Coturnix japonica: one gene and its partner. Each later gene encodes a partner of the first gene's protein in a complex. Links are inferred from orthologs where the notes say so. Each region holds a gene or a part of one and is shown on either strand. Other genes may lie near its edges.

Evidence for each region.
Region 2: the proteins of NPR3 (region 1) and NPPC are in contact, whole or in part, in a crystal structure (PDB 1JDP), measured with the Homo sapiens proteins. The link is inferred for Coturnix japonica from reciprocal best matches to the Homo sapiens genes NPR3 and NPPC. Residues at the interface, in NP_001191304.1 of Homo sapiens: Asn110, Tyr138, Ala141, Pro142, Arg145, Ala161, Gly163, Phe164, His166, Glu170, Tyr171, Tyr204, Lys208, Leu209, Arg211, Tyr214, Phe215, Leu217, Glu218, His221, Glu222, Gln225, Ile233; in NP_077720.1 of Homo sapiens: Gly109, Cys110, Phe111, Gly112, Leu113, Lys114, Leu115, Asp116, Arg117, Ile118, Gly119, Ser120, Met121, Ser122, Gly123, Leu124, Gly125, Cys126.

Annotation. Positions count from the first base shown.
Region 1 is NC_029547.1:9,261,000-9,264,803, forward strand, and holds part of NPR3 (atrial natriuretic peptide receptor 3), read right to left. Parts: intron 3,153-3,804; coding exon 3,030-3,152; intron 1-3,029. UniProt on the Homo sapiens protein: Receptor for the natriuretic peptide hormones, binding with similar affinities atrial natriuretic peptide NPPA/ANP, brain natriuretic peptide NPPB/BNP, and C-type natriuretic peptide NPPC/CNP.
Region 2 is NC_029524.1:13,423,948-13,428,501, forward strand, and holds the start of NPPC (C-type natriuretic peptide), read right to left. Parts: upstream 3,024-4,554; 5' UTR 2,773-3,023; coding exon 2,680-2,772; intron 1,782-2,679; coding exon 1,479-1,781; 3' UTR 1,466-1,478; intron 756-1,465; 3' UTR 1-755.

The DNA of each region.
Region 1 (3,804 bases):
GTTTGTACGGCTGCAAGGAAACACTGGACAGCAGCTAAAATCCTGTAGCATGATTTTGCCCTGAGTGGCAGCACTGCTTCCTTCCTTGGCAGTACCGAGTCCTTTTTACTGCCTTTGGAAAAGAAATAAATGGGAAGATACAGAAAGGGACACAAACCTTGCTGGAGTCTTAAAGCTGAAAAACCTCTGTCCCAGTTGGGTACCTGCATTTCGGAGATGCAGCACATGAAAAGTATGACAGAGATTGTAACATGGAGGGGTTTGCTAAGGCAGACTACTAAGAAGAGTGGGTTCACATTAAAAAATGACAGCACTGTTGGAATGTGAATAAATTTCTGTCTTGGGCATCATACATATTTATTTTTAAAAATACTGACACTGGGAACAAGAAGTTATACTTGCATAACAGAGTTCCTAAAATAATTTCCATATTTAAATTCCTTCATGGATTGTTTTGTGGGATGTAGTGTTGCCACAGTACTTATCTGCAATTATTGCAGTCTTGGCATTAAATGCGTCTGCTCTTATGAAAAATTAAAAATATTCAGAACAGAGGGCAACAACAAACTGCAACACAGTCATCTGAGCTGAAAGAGAAAATGCCAACCGTCTGTCACATCCACTCTTAAATCATGTGTCTCTTAAAATTCCAGCACCTCCTGCCATTGGGAACAAGGAATTCACAGAAAATGTCTCTACACTTCCCTACCACATTTGCTTCCAGTGTGCAATGACCACCTCAAGTCAGTTTCCAACAGTTATTTTGCTCCTCATTGGAAAAATTCACAAAGAAACAGAAAAAATGATTAAAAGAATTATTCCATAGAAGCACCAGGGAATTTCTGATAACATAGACAGGAGGCAGATATTTGTAATTTATCCCTTGGAAAAGCAATAAGTAGACTGAACTAACTGTAATGCAAAGGAGGAGGATGCTGAGACCTCCAAGACAAATGGGCACATCCCTGTTAGGGGCTTTTGCAACATTCCTTCCTAGTCAACACCATCCTGAAATGCAAAACACATTACAAAATGCAGCAGCATACCTCCTGCAGCTGCTGCTCTTACACAAGAAGCTCCTGCTCCAAGAGGGCCTCTACACCCCAGCCAGTCACTCTGCTTGCTTCATCCAAGGTAACAAAATCACCAGTGTTAAGGAGCAATTCATCCAGGCCATTTCAGACACTTCAGGATGAGGTGAATCACCACCCAGGGGTGCCTAACTTTTTCCTGTGACTCTAAAGGGAGCCTAGCTCACATGGAGACTTGTACTTGGGGCCAGATGAATCAATTCTAATTAAATTTTACTCTCTGAGATGAAATATAGCAGCAGCATAGCAGTAAGAAGCACTAGCAGCAGCCAGAAGGGTTATATGATCAATGGTGTCTAGGCAGAAGTGAAATCAAGTCTGCAAAGCTCCCACAGTCTACAGAAAGCCAGTTTTGTGACTATTGACATAAGTAAACCTTCACCTTTTTAGACTGGTCCTGATTGAAGCTGCAATGACAAATGCTTCACTTACGACACAAGGGGTGAAGTCACTCTCAATTTCAGTCAGAACCAGACCAAACAGACCACCATGACTTGAATCATTGGCTTTGATCTTGGTCTGCCAATTTATCTTTTAGTTACTGAAGTAATTTCCTTATTGGCTGGTAGAACTTGGCACTTCCTTAGCCAACTTAGAGGACACATGTAGTGTTATCTTTGCTTCTTTAAATATCTACAACTCCGAATTTAAGCAGTAACACATGTTCATTATAAAGCTTTTCAACAAGCAGCACTGTTCGTTTCTTTAAATAATCTCAGGGGTGATAGATGGATAATGAAGTCTATGTAAGAGAATTTAACTTGCAATTAACTGATTCATTAAACAAAATACCTCATCTTTTTGTGAATGTCTTTTTTTCCTCTTTATCAGCTTTTCAAGGATTGAAAGAAAACAAGTTTTCCTTCTTTTACAACTCCCACCTGGTTTTCAATTCGAAATGAATCTGTTATTGCACTGAATTAGCTAGGGCAGGCTGCAGGAGGAAAAATATTTTCTCTGCACCTGCGAAAGAAGCTGCTTGGTTCAAAAGCCACTTTGACACTTCAACAAAATCAGGTTCCCGGACAGAAAATTCGCTCAGCTTCAGCCATATGACATTTTATAGAACTGCCAGTAAACACATTGTGCCAGTACTGCCTTCCATTTAACTAAGGCAGCTGAGATTAGGTTTAGTCTCTACCATGCACTGCCATAACAACAGATGTAACTGAAGAGGGGTGTATTTAAAAAAGCAAATATATTTAATTTTTCAGCTGATTTAACTTGACACATCTTGTCACGTTTATTTGAAATGAAGTAATTTGCTCTTATCTATCCAAACCTAGCACATTTAGACAGCCTGTGCTCTTGTTTACCAGTGCCTTCTATTCAACACAGCAGGGCTGGATGGTTTTGCACACACAGTTTCTGATCAAAAGTAAACAGGATGTATGGAAATCCTAGCATATAAGTGACTTCCGGAGACCCTGGACCTGCAGTTGCACATTCTCACTGCCAGCCCTCATGCCTCCTCTCAATAATGCCTGTAGTGCATTTCCTAGAATCACAGAAAGGCTTGGGTTTTGAAAGTACCTTAATGACCTTTTAGTTCTGAATCCCTCTTGAGGGCAAGGACACCTTTCACTACACTAGGCTACCCAAAGCCTCATCCAACCCAGCCATGTTCACTTCTTCAGAGATGAGGCATTTACAGCTTCTCTGGGCAGCCATACCAGGGCCTTCTGGCCCTCTAGGTAAATAATTTCTTCCTCATGTTTTACCTAAATCTACTTTCTTTTAATTTAAAACCATTCTTCAATATCCTGTAATCCATTCAGTTGCAATTTCTGCAATGTTATAGCCTAAAAAGAAGGTAACTGCAAAAACATGGAGAAATGGTGGTGCATTCAGTGCAGCATGTTTTAACACTAACAAACCTAAAAGTATTACCAGGCTTACAAAAGACTTTGTAATATACTCGGGCAGGAAAAACATTACCATATGATGAGCTGTTGAAGAGCTCAATATTGAAGAAAGCATAGTCCCCATTGGTCATTCCTTGCCGATGAGCAGCCAACATGATGTTCCTGATTGTGTCACCGCTGGCACACATGATTACAACTGGTGGAAGAAAACAGAAAACACAGATAAGAAAGAGTTCAAGAACTTTATGGAACAGATTCTTTAGCATGAATGCTGCCAGAGACAGTGACCTGAGCTGTCCTCTCAGTGTTGCAACAAATATGACAACATAAAGAACTAACAAAGCTAATTACCTAAACTGCTGACAGAAGATGGGCATCAAACATAGAGTGAAATTTTACTCACATCTCCTCTGAAAATAATTAAGTAGATCAACACGTTATCTAATTTTCTTACTCCGGCAGCTCAGGAAAAATTCTGCCTTCAAATTTCTTCTATTATATACATTTGTAGAGTTAATTGCAACCATAAATCTTAGTTATTACTTCAAAGTGTACATAAGACAATCTGAAGATTAAGTAATAAGATACAATGGCACTACCATTTCAATTCTTTTGAAATCTTTGGTGTAGATTTTTACCTACACTCATGCTATCTGACATTTAGGTAACTGCTCTAGAATTTGTTGCTTTGTGATGATCATTGATCATCAACAGTAAAAATGACCTTCAGGCAACCAAGCCTAGAATCTGAGTGTGCAAGCCAAGTCCACAATGTCTCATCCTGTAAGATTTTGTAGCAGGGACTTGGGAAGTCAAAGCAGAAATCCGATGTCCATCCAGCACAGCAC
Region 2 (4,554 bases), on another chromosome or scaffold:
CCGGTGCCGTGCCATCACTCTGCTGCTCTCCCCTCCCGGCCGGGCTGTGGCAGCGAGCTCAGGTGCTTCCATCGGGCAGAACTGGCTCCATCCGAGCACAGCAGCGCTGGGCACGACTTAAAGCACGAGGGATCAAAGCTTCCCCCATCACAGCCTTCCTCCGGCTCCTGCCTTCTCTAAAGCATCCCGACCATCTCTCGGCTCCATTCCAATCAATCAACCCGACGTTGCAGTTGGACGTGGGTTTGATAAATAAAGACATGTTACCAAACGGTTTTTCTTTCTTTTTAACCTTTTTTCCGGCTACTTAGGACAAAGAAAAAACAACAACCCCAGCAACGTGACAATGCTTGACTTCTCCTTTAGTTACATAAATAATTTCTTTATAAATATCTCTTTATAAACAATATATAAATAGCTTTACAACATAAATACATTTATGCATGACATGAATTTACAAACAGCAACGTTATACAGCCGGCTTCATCAGTCTCTCAGAAAAGCACTGTCCCTTGTCTCGGTGAGTGTTTGTATATATAATATAGAGAAGATAGAGAGCGCTTTTAAGGGGGGGGAACGGGGAGGGAAAAAGAACAACCGAAACAGCTGGTGGGTGCCGTGACTCCTCGTACCGAAAAGAAAAACACAGCCACATCTTTTGTCCGATCCTGGGGGGGTTTCTCTGCTCTTCCAGGCGGTGCCTGAGGGGCGGCCGTGCCCGGCCCTTGGGGGAACGACGGAGCTGCTCCGGTGCCCTGCGAGGAACGAAGGAGAGCCGTGAGCGCCCGCCCCGCATTGCCCAGCATTGACCCGAGATGCGACCCCGGCGGGATGTCCCGGGTTTGGGGTGCGGGTACGGAGCTCGATGCTGTGATACAGCGAGGGGAAATCTCGGCCCGCTCTTGCCGGGGTTGTGTGTTGGTGATGCTGACCGCTCGCCCCGGGGCCAGCAAGGACGGGAGCTCGCGGCTTTCTCGTCCTGCCCGCCGCGCTAAAGCTTTATGGGTACGGGGGGATCCGGGAGCAGAATGAGAACGGAGCTGGGATTCGGGGGGTCCTCCGGCCCAACCCAGCCGAAAGTTTTCGCTCCTCGCACCCGGCTGAGAAACCGCCCTGAGCGGAGCCGGGCGCGTGGGGTGAAAGTTCTGAGCAGAGCTTAAGGACACAGGGCGATGCCCCGGGGATGCCGAGAGCCGGTGCCGGCACCTGCGGGTCGCACAGCCGGGTGTCTGCGTCCGGACACAGCCCGGACCGGGGCGGAGCGGCGGCACCCTCGGTCCCCGACACGGCGGAGGAGCCGCGCTCATTGCCGCTGCCCATGGCCGCCCCGTGCCGCTGTGCTCAGCGGATCCCCCGCTGCTCGGCTCGGCCGGACTCGCACATCGCAGCTCCACGGGAACCACCCCCGGGGCAGCCCCGCCCGCCCCGCGCCCAGCACCGCCCTCGGGCCGCGCCGCGCACTCACCGCCAGGGGTCCCTCAGCAGCCGAGGCCGCTCATGGCTCCGATGCGGTCCAGCTTGAGGCCGAAGCAGCCCTTCCCGAGCCCCTTCTTGTGCAGCCCCTTATGGCGGCGGCCCGACGGCTCCTGCAGCAGCCGCGCCCAACCCGCTCGGGGCCGCGTCTCTGCCCGCGCCTCCCGCGCCTCCCGCGGCCCCGCGCCGCCTCCTCCGCCGCCTCCTCCGCGGTTCCGCTCCTTCTCCTTCTCCTTGTCCCGCTCCGCTCCCGCAGCCTCGGGCGGACCCGCCGCCGCCGCCGCCGCCGCCGCTGCTCCGCGGGACGCCTGCGGGGAGACGGGCGGTCACTGCGGGGCGGTCACCGCGTCCCGAGCTCCGCGTCCCTACCCCGCAGCGGAGCATCCCCCGCCGCCCCCCGCGGCCCCCGCTGGGTCAGTGCGGCCCGGAGCGGGGCTGGGGCGGAGCTCCCCCGGGCTGTGTGCAGGGCAGCCCCGAGATGGGGTCGGAACACCCCAAACTGGGCTCACCGCACCCCCCAATTCAAATGGCTGCGCCCCCAAACACGGGTCGCCGTGACCCTCCGCCTCCCACCAGCCCTCGGCCCCTTCCGATGTGGGGTGGTCCCGCTCCCCAGCTGCAGGGTCGCTGCCGCTCTGTGCTGATGCCGCTGTCACCCCACTCTGCAAAGTGGGGAACACCGGGTCCCCCGCTTTCCCAGCTCTGCCGCTCACACCTCATTAACACGCTCTGAGCACTCTCACTTCTGCGTCCTCCTCACTGCCTCCACTGTCCCGTCTGCGGCTGCTGCTCACCCCCTTCCTGCCCATCACGCCCCCCAGCTCTCCATGCCGACATCCCCCACCCACCCCCCCGCTGTCCGGCTCCGTGTGCCGTATCTCCGGTACAGGTGTCGGTGTCCTCCAGGACATCCCCGCTCCATCCCCGAGGGACACACAGGGTGCCCCCCATGGGCTCCGACCTCACACCTACACCCGGGTCTGACTCCAGCACCGCAGGGTGACGTGGGGACAGCCGTGTCCCCGCTTACTGTGGTCCTGCAGGGTGAGGACTCGCAGCGTCCTCTCCAACCACAGTTCTCCCCTACACGTGGGTCGGTGGTCTCCTACCACCCACAAAACCCAATGGGAAGGAGGACTCCGTAGCGCCATCCCCTCGCCCTAAGGACTCTATTGGGGCTCAGCAGCGGGGCAGAGGCAGCCCTACCTTCTGCGGGAGCTGGGACGCCGGCTTCGCCTCCAGCCCGACGGAGAGCAGAGCGAGCAGCAGTCCTCCGGCCAGCACGGGTGAGATCTGCATCCTGCAGTGCAGCGGGAATGGGGCCGGGGGGCAGCGGGGAGCCCCGGGGAGAGGCCGGGACGGAGGGAGTCAAAGTTCAGCGCGGAGCCGCGAGGTCCCTCCTGCCGCCCGCGCTGTGCCGAGCCACTGAACTTGGGCTTTCTGCTTCATTCATTTTATAACCCAACCTGCTCGGTGATGTCATCTAAACAACCAGGTCCAGCCCGGCCTCCCACTGCACAATAGCAGGAATTTAAAGGGGGGGTCCCCTCTCCCCTGGCAGGAACAAATGACACATCAGCCCAAGGCGATGGGCTCACAGAGCTGGAGAGCCAAAGAGGAAAGTGAGGGGCATTTGGCTGAGCTCCCCCAACCCCCCCCCCCGAGGGTGGCTGTCACCCCGTATCCCCCCACCCCACAGCCCCTCTGCTGCCCCCTCATCCATGCAGACCCCCAGGAGGGGCATGGGATGGCTGCTGCACTCCGCAGGGGGATCCTGGAGGGGGATTAAGTCCCAAAAGCAGAAATGAATGCGAAAAGCACTTCCCCGCCCCCCCCGCATCCAGGCTTCAATCAGAATGAAACTCTCAGACCCCCGTTTGCCAGGAGAGGGGGACACTGCTCTGCATGGCGGTGACACGGGGACACGTGGGAACAGGCTCACAGGTGGATGCTGTGGCTCAGACCTGGTCCCGCTCCCTGTCCCTGCCCTCCCGCTGGGGGTCGGGATGCTGCCCTCACCCTGGGGCAGTCACAGCTGCTTCGTCTGCAGGGTACGGTCAGTGTCACCCTGCCCTGCAAGGACAGTCCCCGTGCGATGTGGCTGTGAGCGCTCCCACCTGCTGCCGGGGCTGCAATGGAGGATGAGCTTTGGATGCTGGTGGCAGCTCAGGGCACGCAGCCGAGGGCAGGACTTAGGATTTGTGGTACCACCGTTGCTGCCATGCATGGCACCAGAGCCGCACCAACCCCATCCCTGGCGCCCTGAAGTGCAGGGATGCTCTTAGTGGTGCAGTGCCCCCAAATCCTATCCACGGCACCATGGAAAAGCTCCAGGCTCTCCCCAGGCTGGTGCTTTCCCTGTTCTCTGGGACTCCCCGGGGCTCTGCTCTGCCTCCAGCAGGATCCGAGCTCTTTGGGGGGCTGTGGTTTCCCCCCCTGCAGCTGCACTGCTGGGCACGGGCCGCCTCGCAGGGAACCATCCCTTCAGTTCCATGCGGCCGGGAGCTGGAAGGAGAAGGTCTCGGTGGTTTTTCCATTGTGCCTGCCAGGTGGAGACAACTTGGGCTTTTTGGAGCGCAAAGTTGCACTCGGGCACTCGGCTGCATGCAGGCAGATAAAGGCGATGGAGGCAGCATTACAGCCGGCCCCCCATGCCAGGTGACCACACGCACAGGCGTGGGGCACAGAGTTCCCTTCTGTATTTTGTGGGGCTCAGCCCCATGGGGAAGGATCCCCCCGTGGGATGAGGGGTTGCAGCCCTATGTCTGAGCATCCTGCACATGGCACAGCACAGCTGGATCTCACCACCGTGCTCTGCTGGGTTCCCGTGAGCATGTTTGCTTTGTCCCAACGCTTGCAGCCTCAGTTTTGGGGGCTGTGCTTTTAAAATCCAATTAGTGCTGTTATTCAAATCACCCTGCCCTTAACCGAAACCAGACCACATCCACCCGCACTGCTTCACAGCAGCAAAAAGCTCTCGGGTGGGGGGATGGAGGGGGAAGAAGGGATGGAGAAGGGGTTAAAAGCAACAAAATCTTTTTGCTTCGTGGGATGGGGAAGCCTTTAACCCTTGGATGTACT